Linked DNA regions of Astyanax mexicanus. The protein of the gene in region 1 interacts with the protein of each later gene in a pairwise test. Links are inferred from orthologs where the notes say so. Each region holds a gene or a part of one and is shown in the gene's direction. Other genes may lie near its edges.

The links. The genes of interacting proteins can lie anywhere in the genome.
Region 2: the proteins of arl16 (region 1) and pde6d interact in binary tests that used the Homo sapiens proteins (3 or more experiments, as listed by UniProt). The two-hybrid records come from large-scale screens. The link is inferred for Astyanax mexicanus from reciprocal best matches to the Homo sapiens genes ARL16 and PDE6D.

Annotation. Positions count from the first base shown.
Region 1 is NC_064410.1:5,270,993-5,278,799, forward strand, and holds the start of arl16 (ADP-ribosylation factor-like protein 16), read left to right. Parts: upstream 1-4,805; 5' UTR 4,806-5,023; coding exon 5,024-5,084; intron 5,085-5,322; coding exon 5,323-5,378; intron 5,379-6,422; coding exon 6,423-6,539; intron 6,540-6,820; coding exon 6,821-6,936; intron 6,937-7,061; coding exon 7,062-7,227; 3' UTR 7,228-7,807. UniProt on the Homo sapiens protein: May suppress the RNA sensing activity of RIGI in a GTP-dependent.
Region 2 is NC_064412.1:25,061,277-25,069,055, forward strand, and holds the start of pde6d (retinal rod rhodopsin-sensitive cGMP 3',5'-cyclic phosphodiesterase subunit delta), read left to right. Parts: upstream 1-4,761; 5' UTR 4,762-4,983; coding exon 4,984-5,033; intron 5,034-7,779. UniProt on the Homo sapiens protein: Promotes the release of prenylated target proteins from cellular membranes. Modulates the activity of prenylated or palmitoylated Ras family members by regulating their subcellular location.

The DNA of each region.
Region 1 (7,807 bases):
GACAGTTTAAATATCTATATGTACAAGGGCTGCACTATATTGGAAAAATGTTATGTTGCAAATGTTCTTTTTTTGATAATATATATATATATATATATATATTGCGATATTAAACAATGCAGGGCCCATGACGTCAACAGCTCCGCCCCCACCCACGTGCTGTCTCGCGCCTGGACCGATTAAGAGCTGAGTCAGTGCCGAGCACTCAAAACCCGAGGAAAACAGCAAAACAACAGTAATCGGCCCTTTAATAAGGCTTTTAATGGCTTTTTAAAAGGTAAATAAGCGTTTTTTGGGATTAACGCACGTGCCTAACCATGTGGATGGAGGCCATGCAGTTACCTTGCGTTTACTCCTGCCCCTCCCTCTTCCACTTCTCAGGCAGCAGCAGCCTGTCACTCACACAGACACAGAGACAGTGCTGTGTATCTACTTCTTGTGTCAAAGAATCAAAGAATCAAAACATTGCAACATGGCGTGTTTGATGTAATTGCATGTCCTGCGAATGTGACTACTGCACATGTGCACATCGCGATGACGATGCTTAAACGGGCAGCCCTAATATGTACATCTATAAAGTGCGGCAGGAATGCATTAATGCAGGGTTTAATTGCAGTCTCCTTCCTCCTGACAAGTAGGCAGTTAGGCAGTAGCGCCACCCCAGAGCTCTGAAGCCATACACATTAACAGAAAGACACATTTTCTCAGAATTTTAGAATTGTGTTGTTATGTAGTGTAATTTTACAGCTCTAGAACTGCTGCTCATCAAGAAAGCTAAGTCCAGCTTCCAAAATTTACGCTGTATTTACAAGAAGTGTTTTAGTTCAGCCAATCAGAACAGAATATCAGTCTTAAAGGCACAGCAGCTCTTTGACAGCCTGTTAAATTCTAAAACTGCTTTGCTTGATGCAACCGATGTGTTTTTTGTAACTTATTAATGTAAACATAGGCATAGAAATGGTCAGGGACAAGGCATAATAATAGACTATGTTTTTCTTTTTAATGAAAACTCTCCATTCAAAATATTATGTAGGCCAAGATTAGGCTTAATCCTTAGGAAAGTGGTCCTGGTCCTAAAGGTTTACACTAGACTATATTCAGTATATTACAACTGGCTACAGCGTAGAAAATAATTGTGTACAGATTATCCCTAAATGCTTTGGCTACACAAATATAAATGTCGTATGTGCGCTTATTGGGAAAAGTACATAAAACAGAAATGCAGGGAATGCATATGATCCAGTTTCTGCTGGATTATTTAATATGAATGAATCACAATAATTATAAAGCACAGCTGGTGTTTTCAAATAGTGTTAAAAACAAGTTACATGGCTTTGAGGTGACAGCAGTGATAATTATAACCAATTGTGTTTTACATTATACCAGTAATGTACATCTACTGTACACACACACATACACACACACACACACACACACACACACACAAACACACACTCAGGAAAGCGTGTTGATGGATTTAAAAAAGTCTATTGTGTTTTTCTGCCCGTGTCAGGGTTTGCCTCATTCTGTTTCCTCAAACGCAATTGTCTGCGCGCTGACCAGAGTAATGCTGTAACACACACATACACACACACGCATTTTTATTTTGCAATACCTCTACAATACTATAATCATAGAATAATTAAAAAAATCATTCAATACAAGACCAATACAGTCATCTCTCCTTCACTTCACTTTTCCATCTTTTTCTCTGCTTTTATGAAACACACACACACACACACACACACACACATTTAGAACTCTCATTAGTTGTGTCTTCACTCCACATTCGCAACAATAGCACATAGTTCCTGTTCCCCTGGCGGACGCCTGCTATTTACACAAGTGTCTCTGGACTGTCTGCTCTGTATATACAGCAGCATGCAAAAGTTTAGGCACCCCTGCTCAGAAATTCTGTTCCTGTAAAGAGTTAAATGAGTAATGGATGTCCTAATTTCCAAAAGGCAAATCATTTCTTTAAAAATGTAGTAATTATATGCTTACAGTAGATTAAGGAAGTCCCGTCAGTAATGCACTGCAAAAGACAAATGCATGAATCAGTTTCTCTGCATCATCTAACTAAAAATAGGAAAATAGGATCTCGCTCCTGCGTTACTTCTTGAATAACACAAAGGACAGTCTCGATGATCTTATTAATATGTGGTATGAATGAAGAGTCACGCCATCTGATGTGACAGATATGTACAGCTGCGTGTCATCAGCATAATGATTAGTAATAATCTGATCCAGTGGCAGCATGTATGAGGAGAACAAGAGTGGGCCAAGGACAGAGCCTTGTGGTACACCACATGGAATATTATTCTCTTCTGAAAAATCTTCAACCAATAGTAATAAAAACTTCCTTCCAGCCAAATATGTGAAAAAAAAAAACATTTTAAACTAGTTCCAGTTTGTTCCAGACTGACTATGTTTTTAAGACTTTTTAAAAGCGCACTACGATTAATTGAATCAAATGCAGCAGTTAAATCAAGAGGACCACATTTTCATAGAATGGACTGCACATGTTCTTCACTGCGGTTAACACTCCTCCGTCAGTGGTGGAAAAAGTCCCACAAGCACTCACTGATGTTAAAATCTGGTAATTGCGTTCCTATGATATCACCTGCATCTTCTCACTCCTCAAACCCCTCCTCTACCAATCAAGCACTGTCCTGGCACTGTTAACATATCAATTTATTTTTTTTATAAAAAAATTCTCCATCAAAAAAAGGGAAAAATTAATATCTTCAAACACTTCTAAATTAGCTGCTGAACATCAGAACATGACATCTGAATATACTCTGTATATAGCTGAAATGACAATAAAAACCACTTTGACTTTGACTTTGACTTTGAAGATGAGAACCAGTCTTATGATCAGCTAATTTTCACAACCACAACACGCTCAGAATAACACATACAAATGTGTGAAGAGGTATTTTATCCTTTTCGAAACTGAGCGCTTGTTTTTGTGCTCAGGCCATGAAGGCACTATATCAGTCAACCTGTTATTTAGAGTTCTCAATGGGTGTTGTCAGCAGAGACATGTGAAATAGAGGTCTGAGCAGAGCTGCTTTTTTCAACTCGCTGCTGCCCGCTCCTGCTTGTTTTAGTCCTGTGACTGACCGCTTCCGCCAAAAAAAATTGCTTGTTTTAATCCTGCTCCCGCCCACACACCTAATATGAATTAAATTAATGAAGTGAAGTGCTTTTATTTTTGTATTTATTTATTTAGGTATTTATTTAAACAGCAATATAGTGCTGGATTGCACTGTCCCATTTCTTACCACAGTCCAAACACATGCCGTCAGGTAAATTGTAGATGCTGAAATTGTGTCTTGAGGCTTTTTTGTTGATGTATTGGCTATTAACTTGACATTTATTAACTTTCCTTGAGTGCCAATCGTGTGTTTGTTAAACTCAGGATCGTTTTAGAATTACATTTCTTTGAGTTTTTTCTCAGTGCTGAATACATTGATCGAGATTTAAGCATCTTACTGATTAGTTGTTTTACCTTTGACCCACTCGTAAGTAATTAGGAACTACATTCAGGCAGGTTCTAGAAATTTAGAAGACTTGCCATTTGAGCATTTACATTAATAAAAAATAGCTTTCATTTTGAAGTGACAAAACATACTTATATATTGCGCTTTGTATTAGCAAGGTTTAAAATATATATATTTTATGCTATTTTTGTCGTGCTGTGGATATTTTACAAAAAAAATGGATGTAAAACATGTCCATATATGTCCATTATTGTCCATATAATATAATAAGCTTTGCGCTAAATAAATGAATTCAAATGAAATCCGTAGTTTACCTTGATTGAAGTGTCTGAGATGATCAGAGATATTAAATTATTAATTTATTAAATATTTATAACAAACATCAGCCTAGTGATATCTATGTGGTATAATATTGAGAAATGTAAATCAGTGATTCAGATTTATGACTGATGGTGTTTTTTTTCCAGGCGGAGCCAACAAAGAAGTGCTAAACAATCGTTTGTAACTTTGGAGACTAAGAAGGCTTTTGGGAAACAGACATAAAATTGTTTTTCTCAAAGTTCTGTTGTTCGTATATCACTAAAATCATTTGCTCTCGGGAAACGCACCCCTGGTCTGTTGGAGATGGAAGGTTTTTGCATGTCAATATTAACTGTTGAGAGTATAGTTTAATTTACTCCATTCTGCCTCTCAACTAGGGGGTTTGGCCGGATGGACCTTGGCTCTCCCTGTTACATATATAGGTCCATCATACTGCCAACACAAAGAAACATGAGGGACCAGGGGCCTAGAAGAAGACAACAGCACCGCTGCCTGGCAGAGGACCAGCATGCTTACAACACAGCAAACTAAATATTTTACATATGTTGTTCAACTAAGCAATGCACAATATAATGGTTTTGTTATCATATTTGTGCATTTTATTACTGTTACTAATTTCTTGTCTGAATTCTTTTTAAAAACTGTTGCTTTGTTGTTCTAAAAACTGCAAACAATGACGCTTGTTTTATTATTATCACTATTATTACATTTTATTATTATTATTATTATCACTATTATTATTTTTATTATTATTATTATTATTATTATTATATTTTATTATTATTATAATTTTATTATTATTATTGTGAAGAAAATTCAGACCTAAATTAACATATATTATATCAACAAATACTACAACTCAAATAATAGGTAGGCGTGGCAAGATTGAAAATGGATATTGAATGTTTTTTATATAATAAAATGTATATATATATATATAACACTCGCTGCGTATAATTTAGAATTTCTACTAATAGTAAACTAGCGTTTATTATAGCTGTTATTCTAGTCGTAGCACGCAGGTTAGATACTTTTATTTTGAAGGCGGATTAAGCCTACGTCGTCTTGGTAACCGGGTTTCTGGTGTAGCTAGATAGCTTTCTAGCTAACGTTATTTATGTATTATTGTACTCAAATGGTTCCTCGTTGGTTTTATAAACGTATAAACACATATAGCTAGCTTCATTAGATCAGTTATGTGTTTATTACTGGGAGCAACCGGCGTCGGAAAGACGCTGCTCCTGAAAAGACTACAGAATATCCTTTTAAAGGCGAACTGCGGTTAGCTAAGCTAACATTGGTTAGCTCGGTTTAAGTTACAGTAAAGGATGCTGGTTATCCCAGCGGTGGTTTATTTAGCTTGGTTGGCTGGTGGAGTGTAAATACAATATCTGTGTTATTTAGCTGCATACAACATTGTTTCTTTCAGTTTTTACCTGGTTAATTAAACCTAACTTTAATCTAGGGTGATTTTCTTTATCTGAGAGTAACTTACAGCTGTGCCAGCGGGACGGGACAGATTTAGGTGAACCACCGGTTACACTGCCAACGGTGAGCTGTAATATATTATTATTGATACTTAACTAGATATAGATAACGTTAAAAAGACAGAGTATGGTTTACTAAGTCAGTGTAAATTGGAAATGGGTTTTTATTTTCCCAATATTTTAAATTTTTGCTTCTTTTAACAAACATTTGATGGTATAATTCAAGTTTACAAGATGAAAATTGAAAATTAAGAAAACTGAAAAAAATCTTTCCTGAAATTCAGATTGTGGGACAGAAATTATAATAGATGAAAACAATAAGTTTTACACATGTTGTTTAAGACATGTAATGATATTCATGTTACACTGACTGTACTATTAAAATTAAATTTACGAATCAGATATCATTTAGTCTATTTCAAATTTAACTGATGTGTTCACTATACGCTGTCACTTTGATAAATACATATATACAGTGGTGTTTAAAGGTTTGTGAGTTTGTGAATAGAATTGACCTTATTTCTGCATAAATCTGACCTTGATTTTTAAATCAAATTCTCCAAAACAAAGAACATGAAAACGTATCTGGATCTGAAATGGACCGGAAAATGATCTGAAATGTTCAGATTTAATTATCAAAGTATCAAAAAGTAAACAAAAAAAAAGAGGACAAACCGCTGAATTTCAGTGTATATGTTGTGCCTGGCATCATTTGTTGTGGTATACTGAAGAATAAATTGGCTTTCATTCATTTTACAGTTTTTTTTATTTTGCCCTTCAATCAGAATGTCAGAAAAAATCTTTTTCTGAATTTCTCATAAATTATGTGCAAAATCTCATTATGTTCATTTTCCATTTAGTGTGGTACATAAGAAACAGGTTGTCATCCATTTTTTGGTTTATTTTTTGCCCCACAATTTGAATTTTAGCAAAAAACTAAAATCTTTACTTAATTTTCTGTATGTGGCACCTGGCGTTAGTGCATTTGTGCTTGTTGTGGTTACACCACCACATTATGACTCTTCATTAAATGTAGATTTTATTTTTTTATCTTACTTGATCTTGTTTATAAGCAAGTATTAATTTAATGTTTTTTTTTTCTGCACAGGTGGGTACAAACCTCACAGACCTGACGCTGAGGAAGAAGAGGGTGACAGTCAGAGAGTTAGGAGGCTGCATGGGCCCCATCTGGCCGAGCTACTTCGTAGACTGCTACTCTGTTATTGTGAGTTTTGAGAAAACATGATATTACTACAGATTATACAGTACTATAATCACACAAGTTACCTTTCCATTATAGAATGAGACATTTTATATTGTACAGCAAAATTAGGATTAATCATTTATTAACTTCGGACAGTAAAAAGCAGTTTTGAGATGCTGTGCAATTATCTTTATTGCTTGCATATTGAAAAACATGTACTAAAATCCTTGCCATTCAAACATTCCTAATGTCATTTGTAGAAATAATATTGTGCTGCAATAATATGGTGATGTCTTCTTCAGTTTATGGTGGACTCTGCCAACATCACACAGATTTCTTCATCCTGTGTCCAGCTGCTGTCCGTGCTCGCCGCAGAGCCACTTCAGACGGCATCTGTGCTCGTGCTGTTTAATAAGAGGTTGGAAGACTTCTGTACCTACCACAGGGTTTATAACGGTTGTGCTTCTGAAGTAAACTACTGTTTGTGTTCTCCTAACATTCTGGATTATCCTGGATTGTTTTTTTATGTCTGTGTTCTTCTAGGGACCTTCCATGCACCATGACTCTAGGGGAAATGAAATCACTTTTCAGGATGGATGACATCATTGCTTCTGCCCCTCAGTCAATCACAACTTTGGAGCTCAGTGCTCGCTCTGGTGAAGGCCTTCAGGATGTGCTTAACTGGCTGGACTCTTTGCAACCCTGCTGAACTGAACTGCATACATGTCTAAAAGGAAATAATGGTAGATACTTTCAGACAGAACACTGCCACCAGGCCGCATGAAGGTCTGGGTGAAGGATGATACATGGGAGACTAAAGCTCACATCATAGTCAGGATTGCTTGATGTGATGTTTATTAGCTTAGCTGATATTCTGATTCCTCTCTACAGAGAAGCTATGATCAGCTGTACTCCATGTTCATGCAGGTTTCAGGTTGTTGAGGGTAATGAGGAGATGGATTTTAGGCATACCATGCAGACTGTATGGCACAAGGTAGGAGCCACAACCAATCAGAAAAGCCTTTTGGTTTGATTCCTTTAGAGAAACATTTTAAACAGTTTTTTTTTAACCCAGGGTGATTACATTATATCTGTATTCCAAAGGCAGTCACACACTGGCATAATAATACCATGCCAAGAAGCAAATATATTCTGTTTCTATGTGTCAATTCAAGATTATTTATTATCTAATAAATTCAGTTTGATGATCAGTGAGTCATCATTCTTGTGAGCAAAATGTGATATCAATGAGCCATACAGAGCCAGTCTACTTGTAATGTTGCTTTAAA
Region 2 (7,779 bases), on another chromosome or scaffold:
GTTTAGAGGCAGGGCATGGGGAAAGCTGATTGGCTGAGCTGCAGCAGCAGCAGTGTGCCTCTGATGAGGCGCAAATGGTTGGACGTCAGCAGGGGGGGCGGTATTATTGATTGACTGATCTGCATATTGTATGTGTCTGCATACCAAAATACTCAGACACATCATCTACACCTATCACAGTTGAATCTGAGAGGGTGCTGCAGAGGCAGAAATTACCACAATAAAGGCATTTAAGCAGGACAGGTATGTTGCATTACTTCAAAGAAACACATTTTAGCTTTTAATGAAAAAATATGATTTAGGGTTTAGTGTCTCTTTAACCCTCCTCTCTTGCTGTTGTGAGGAAATTTAACATAATCTTTAATATTGAAAGAGCAATCCAAGAACCAAAAACAAATGTACATAAATAACACAGATTAGAACTCAGGTGATAAAGAGTGGGAGAGCTGTCCAAGAACGACTAATGGGGAGCATACAACAGTGACAAGATGTTAAGAACCAGAAGGTGTAATGGTACCCCCAGTGTGGCCAAGGAATGAAGACAACCTTGTGGACCACCACCCACTTTTCCAAAAGCATCTTAACTTGACCAACCAGAGCTGTTGTTGCACTGGACTGAAGATAGTGAAGTTATCAGGGATGATCTCTGGCTTGGACACAACTGTAACCAGTGAAAGGATAAGGCAGACAATGCCTGATGTGACCTCTAGGTCAGGGAGTGCGTTTCTAATGCTTACACAACCCTGGATGTAGGACATTCTTTGCAGGAAACCTGGATCCTTTCCAGCTCTGTTTCTTTAGACCAAAGCCCTTCCAGTTGACCATATATTATACCCCGTTCCTCCTGAAAGAGCATAGCCTCACCCAGTGGCACTGGGAAAAATAAATTGAAGAGAGAGGCTCAACTTTGTTTAGACATTTATTAGACACTTGAACTTGTATAGGAATATTAAGCTTATTATGTTAACTAACACTTTGAACAATCTTAATTGGACCAATAGTCTACTTCAGTCCAAAGTAAATATTATGCCCAATTATTGTTCATGACAACAATTTACATCAACAATTTATCTAGCACCTGATTTATTCTCCTGCACTGACTGTTTGATTAAGGGTGATATCAGAAGTTAGAGTGATCATAACACTTTTAAACAAAGCCATTTAAAGAATTAAGACCAGACATGACTATACAAACCTGTATATTAAGGACTACAATCAGATGCAATGCCTTCCCCGAAAAACACAATATAATTAAGAATACTTTCAGCAGTTGGAATAATGGAATAAATCTGTTAGAATTGCAGTGTATTCTTGCACAGGGGTAAATCAGTCTACTGCTACATGTAACAGAGATGAACCAGAGATGAATCAAGAGTTCCCCTGTATTAACTTACATTTCTCACCCTATATTGCATGATACAAGTACTATAAATGAAAAAAAGACACTACACAGTTGTTCTAAAGGTATTGATTGCGGCTCCAATGACCATAGCCTTCATTCACCAATTATCATTCAAAGAATTTAATATTTTGAGTTTATACCGTCAGAAATACTGTATTTTTACTAGAAATTTTCTGATTTAAGATTGTAGAAATGTACCCAGATCTGTCTGACATAACTGACTCTAACTAAAAATGCTATTTACACTTTTTATGCTTAATATTCTTTTAAACTAAATCTAGCAATGCCTAACCCAATATCTGGTACTTTATATTAGGATTACACAGAACTGGAGGTATGGAGTCTCTAGTGATATGATCTTATAGGATCACTTGTTTTTGTATTTCTTCTTCACTTGAACTCCCTAAATCTGGTTCCTGGTTCTTAAATCTCAAACAAAACTGTCTACGTTATCCAGTTTATGCCAATAAAGCAGCACTTTTTCCATTAATCTAATCTAATATGATCTAATAAAATGCATTTTTTCCACTTAGAAAAAATCATTGATAGGGCTTTTAATGAATCTCATTTCTTCTGTTTCTTAAGACAAATTGCCTTTTCACTGATTCTGTCCTGAGATCATAAAAAATCATCAAGCTTGTTTGGCTGCTTTTTGAGGTTTTTTGTAATGGTCTCTCTCTTGTAACAGCTGCTCTGACCACACACTGATAGACACGGTGCCAAACGGTATTTTCTACAGAACTTAGAATCGCATGTAGATGTACAAGGACAGCCTTTTTTTATTTTAACTGAGATACATTTTGTAAAACAAAAAAGAAATAATTTGTTTTAATAAAATGTTTTTTTTTGCTGAGAATGTGTTTTTGCACCCAGCATGCTCAAAAGTATCAAGGGCTTTATTATATCAAGGTCTCGTTCTCTTTTAGCTCACCAGCATTCTTTAATTTTAAATTTTAATGATGTGTGAATAAGCAGATAAAGACTAAGTTTGCTGTTCTGATATCTTCATGTTGGCAGTAGATCTCGAATCAATGTCATTAGCAGCACCGTTGTTACACAAGTAATCAGCAAAAGCTGTCATGGTAAGAATAAATTCTGGAAAGACCTACCAGAAGCTGTTTTAGAATAAATATGTTTGATTCCATTTATTAGAATATTTTGTCTCCTCTTTACTCAGGAAAACTTATTTTTTTAACAGTTAAGGTGTATAAAGTGTTATTTGGACAAGTACCATAGAATAAACCATGTAGTTCTTTAGAGCATCAATACATTTAATTGTCATTTTAAGGACAACTGTAAACCTTTTAATAAAGTTTAAATGTCACGGAAATGAAAAAAAAAAAGCTTTCAGAATCCCTTTAATAAGAGTAATTTAGAGTAATTTAATAAAACTATTTAGGACTCATTTATTTACTCAGCATAAACCTACAGATGAAAGAAAGTGAAGAGTGTTCTTCAGCACTGCTTTAGACATTTATTTATTCATGCATTTTTACCTTTCAGGTTCCTTTATAGTTCTCAGTTTACACACAGTTTTTATGCAAAGGAGCTTGTCTGCCCGTGTTAAATCAACACTGTAAGCATTAGAATTTGACTAGATAAATGTTAATTTAACACAACAGTGTTGATTTATCCCTGGCAAATCTGCTGTGTTTTATGTTCTCTGAACACTGTCAAGAACAAAAATGCAAGCTTAGTTCATCATGAAAACTTGAGAATGTGTTAATCAATGGATTTGTTGAATTAGGTGTGTTTTAAGCCGGATATCACCAACCTGTGCAAACTCCAGGCCTAATCAGCCCAGCTGCAGGGTGGGACAAATACATATTAAACAAATGTGTGTACTTGAATGTATATGTAATGAATACGTGTACGAAAAATGCAGTGACCCTGAGGTAGCCTGTAGTCTGCAGGCCCAAATTGACTAAATAAAAAAAAGTATTTATGTCTAAATAGTATTTTTTTTCTCTTGTAATGCAGCACCACTCCATGGACATAATCTATTATTACAGGTCTGCAGTATTTGACATAAATGTATACAAGAACTCAGCCCACATCAGTACAGCTGTAGATTTTCAGAAGTTCCTATTTTTAAACAAAATTGTGTTGTATTTGTGGAGTGACCTTTTTACCATTGTCATGACAGATCATTGATCCATCAGCAAATATTGTCTGAGTCAATAACTGTGACAGACAGATTGTTCAGTGTCACATTTATAAGCACACACTTTTGTGTTTACATAAATATTTGAGTCTTTGCATGTTTAATTTCAGTTAGGTCAGGTGACCGTGATGATTAGTTCTGGATCACAAACTCCACTCCATCTCATCCTAAAGATATTGGATGGGGAGCTCCAGCATGGTTCCACCGCTCAACATTCCAACAAAGGAAGGGATGAAGGTAGAAGGTTGTATAAGTTTAAGTGGGTCCTTTTAAGAAAATCCCCAAAAGATCCCAAAAATTTTGACTGTTAACATAAACAAAATCCAGCTTAAAACCAGCTGGTCATCAAGAGAAAAAACATAGACTATGCTGGTAGACTATCTCCTTGACTAGCATAACCAGGGTATGTATTTTTTAAGCTTTTTTTTTTTTTAGAAGGGTTTACTTTATTAACATTGACCACAAATGTCTTATGTTTGTGCATACCCTGATATTATACAACATTAAATAAAGGTTATTTTTATACATTTAATTTTTTTAAGGTTGATGATGGAAAAAAACAACCTTTATTTGACATTTCCCTATGTCCATCAGTTAATGCGGAAATTCTGACACTGATTCAACTTTCATTTAAAGGTTTTGAATGGTTGGAGCTCTGTATCTACATTTACTTTTAGGTGAAGTGTGCTTTACACAAATAATAATATTAATACTAAAATAATTATTATTTAAATGTGTCTTTTTATTGTGCAAGACCACAGTACTGATTATAGGAACAGAATACAAACAAGATACACATATGTAATGTAATTAAAATTTAATACAAACCATATATATAAAACCATAACATTTAGTCGAGATCTTTAGTCGTAAAATCGAGATTAACGTTGTTTCAGTGCATTAGCGATGGAAAGTTAACGCAAATTTAACGTTTGGTCGTATTCTGCTTCAGCCATCACTTCCAGACCCAGGCGAACTGTGTAACTGATAACACAGCTCCGCTTGATCCACTCGAGACGCCGTAGCTCGCATCCAAAGGACCTTTCTAGTTGCCATCGGTGACGCGTCCCTTGTCAACCAATCAAGCCCCGCCCCAAGTGCCGCATTCTTCATCCTGATTGGTCCGTTTGTGTAGTTTCGTCTGAGACGCGCACGGTAGTAGGGCGATTCTGCTGTCAATCAATCTCCGCCGAAAATCTATTTACAGTAGGCTGGAGGAGCAGCAGCCGAGGCGAATCTGTTCAGATTAAAAGCAGCGCTGTGTGTTGTAAAGTGTGGTATTCCGCTAGCCAGTTCACCTAATAACCAGGTTAACCCGCTACAGCGAGTCGAATATTTTAGCTAGTGGACTGCTGCTTTCTGTTCTGTTTTATTTTTTTTATTTTTCCATTCAGTGAATCGGACGATTTTCGGAACGATGTCTTCGGATGAAGACAGGGCGAAGGAGATCCTGAAGGGCTTTAAACTGTATCCTTTAAACTTGAGGCAACAGCGCCAGATTAGCCTTCAGCTTCCAGAATAACATTCAGTGACCAGATTAACACTGTTTAGCTAAACGTTTCATTTCGTTTAAGAAATGAAGCGTGTTTTCTTATCTAACGTTTTTTAGCCATAGAACCTAAGCTAGCTGGTTATAGCGATGCTTTTCCGTTAGCAGGATTAGAGAGCCGAGTAACTAACGTTTGCAAGGTAGCTGGCTAATAATTAGCTAGCGTTAGCAATCTTAGTTAACTAACTATAACTAACTGTATAGCTAGCCAAAATTTGTTTTTATATTTTTATTCTTAATCGGCAGCGAATAACCAGTGTTAATACTTAACCTATTATCACAGCCAATTTAAGCCTTTTTAATTTTGTAGTGTGCAGCTACTAATTTATTTTAAATATTGGTGATAGCTGTACATAATATTTTTTTAATTCTATAACCATTAGCTAACTTAGTTAACCTAGCTATCTGTTAAAGAAAGTGTGTTATAGCTAGTTAGCTAACTCATAATTTTAACAAACTTTATATTCTTTATTATGGCTTATTATTATATATTTTATTACTTTTTGTATTATTATTGTAATTGTATTTAAAACGAAAGTTTATGTCTTTGCAGCAGCATGCTAGCACACTAACTTATATTCTATGTAAGGCTAGCTAGCTTTACTGGCACCAGGTCTATTTTGCAGATAAGAGTACATTAGTTTGTTAGGCTGGCTAAACTAGGTTAGCTAACTAGTTTATCAGACTAGTAGTACCGGTGAGTAGTAGTACTGTTTGTATAAATTAGCTAACAGCTAGTTAGGTTAGCTAGCTAATGTATAACTTTCGTTACCAACTGATAAGTGCAATATATATAAAAGTACACTAGACGTCTTTTTTTTGTGGTTTACAAATTGCCCAGTTTCCTAACGTTACTGATTGATGTTACAGGGGGTGTTACGTGTGGTAACCTGGTAGTGAGGTGTTACAGTCAATCTTTAGCTTTTAGTAAACTGATAATTTGTTCTGTTTTGCGGGATATTTCCATATATGTCTGTAGGCGTGCAGAATGTCAGCTATAAATCACGTATTTAAATTGCTTTTGTTTTTTGAGCTAGGGCTACTTGGTCTGCATCTTTATTACACTACACTTCCTTCACAGTGTAATCTAAAATGTTGCTCAAATCTGATTTTTCACTAGTTTATTTAAATGCAGACATGTCTGACAGGCTCCAGACTGTGTAGCAGGTCATATTTAGGAAGATTTTAGGAGGTTGCTAGATGTTTGTGGGATCAAAGTGCATTAACTAGTGAAATGACCCCACTGTAAGAGTGTCTCTGCTGGCTACTTGGTTTACATAACGTTGCCTGCTGCTCCTAAAATTGGCTCAGTAAGTCCGACAAGAATAATCACACCTGCACAGCCTACCGCCATACTGTAGCCGTCACGAAGGGTAGGTTGGATTCATTTAACCTGTTGAAAGGGCCTGTAGAGGTATCCTGATGTGGCATTGTGTTTTTTTAGAGTCATTTGCTGATGTTGTAATTTGCAGTTGATTATGAGTGTGACCTTCTTTGGGAAGGTAAGGGTGTATCTTACAGGCTGGTAATTCTTAAATCCTTTATTTGCAAGGGCAGGGATTTGCCTTATGCTACTCGCATCCCTGCCTGTGCCGGGTGGTTCTCAAAGTCTCATTACAGTAATGGCTTTAAATCTTTCAAATATTTGCCTTACCTATAGACATATTTATAGAAGGCTAATTAATGTCATATTTGTGTAGGTTATAACTTAGTAATGGAAGCTTAATGAGCTTTAGATATCAAACCAGTCAAAGCCAGCAAGAATTCATACTAGTGTCAGGAGTCTTTTTGTTATTTTTTTGCTGTATTTAAATACCTACATGATTACTCTAAATGGTAATACATCTGTTTCTTAATTATTGTAAATTGCCAACACTGTAAAATGAATGTTAATGTATAATAATCAACTCTGCTGTAGCTACACTGCCTAAACGTAACACTGAATCCCCTTGTGGCTTTAAATGTGCTGTAAATTGTAAACAATTATCCCAATATCTAATATCTAAGTGGGCCTGTTTGTTTGGAATATTGTACTGTTTTGTATCTGTGATTCTCTGGCTGTGAGCCTCAGGGGTGAATGCAGTGCATAAAGTAGCCTCCCTTTGGAGAAGCACCAAAGCACACATGCTCATGAGGATATAAGTGCACACACCCCCAGAGCCAAGACCAGTGCTCACTGTGTAGAGACTTTTCCTTAATGTATCTTAAGTGTGTGAAAACATAGATATGTTAAAAACTAATATGTGGGAATTAGTATTCAGATGCAGATGGATACCATTCAAACTCCCTATTCAAACTTTTCTTTTTTGGTTTGATTTAGGTTAGAACATCTCACTGGAAACTGCCACTGAATGATCAGAGACAGTCTACTGACATTTAGAACGTTTTTTTAAGCTGGTACCTTATTTTTTTGCAAGGCCAACACCGAATTGCAAATGGCAGATTTGAAACAGTGGGTAACATTTTAAAAATGCATGTGACTTCCGTAAAAGCAGTGTAGCCTTGGGACTAATTAGCATGACTGTGTCATTGTTTGTGAGTTAAAGGGTTTCTCCCCTGCGACTCTCACTGTGCATCACTGGTATACACAGCTGGTGTGATCCTGAAGACACCTGTCACCACTAATCTCTAGTGCTATGGCCCAATCCATCATCAACGGACCCA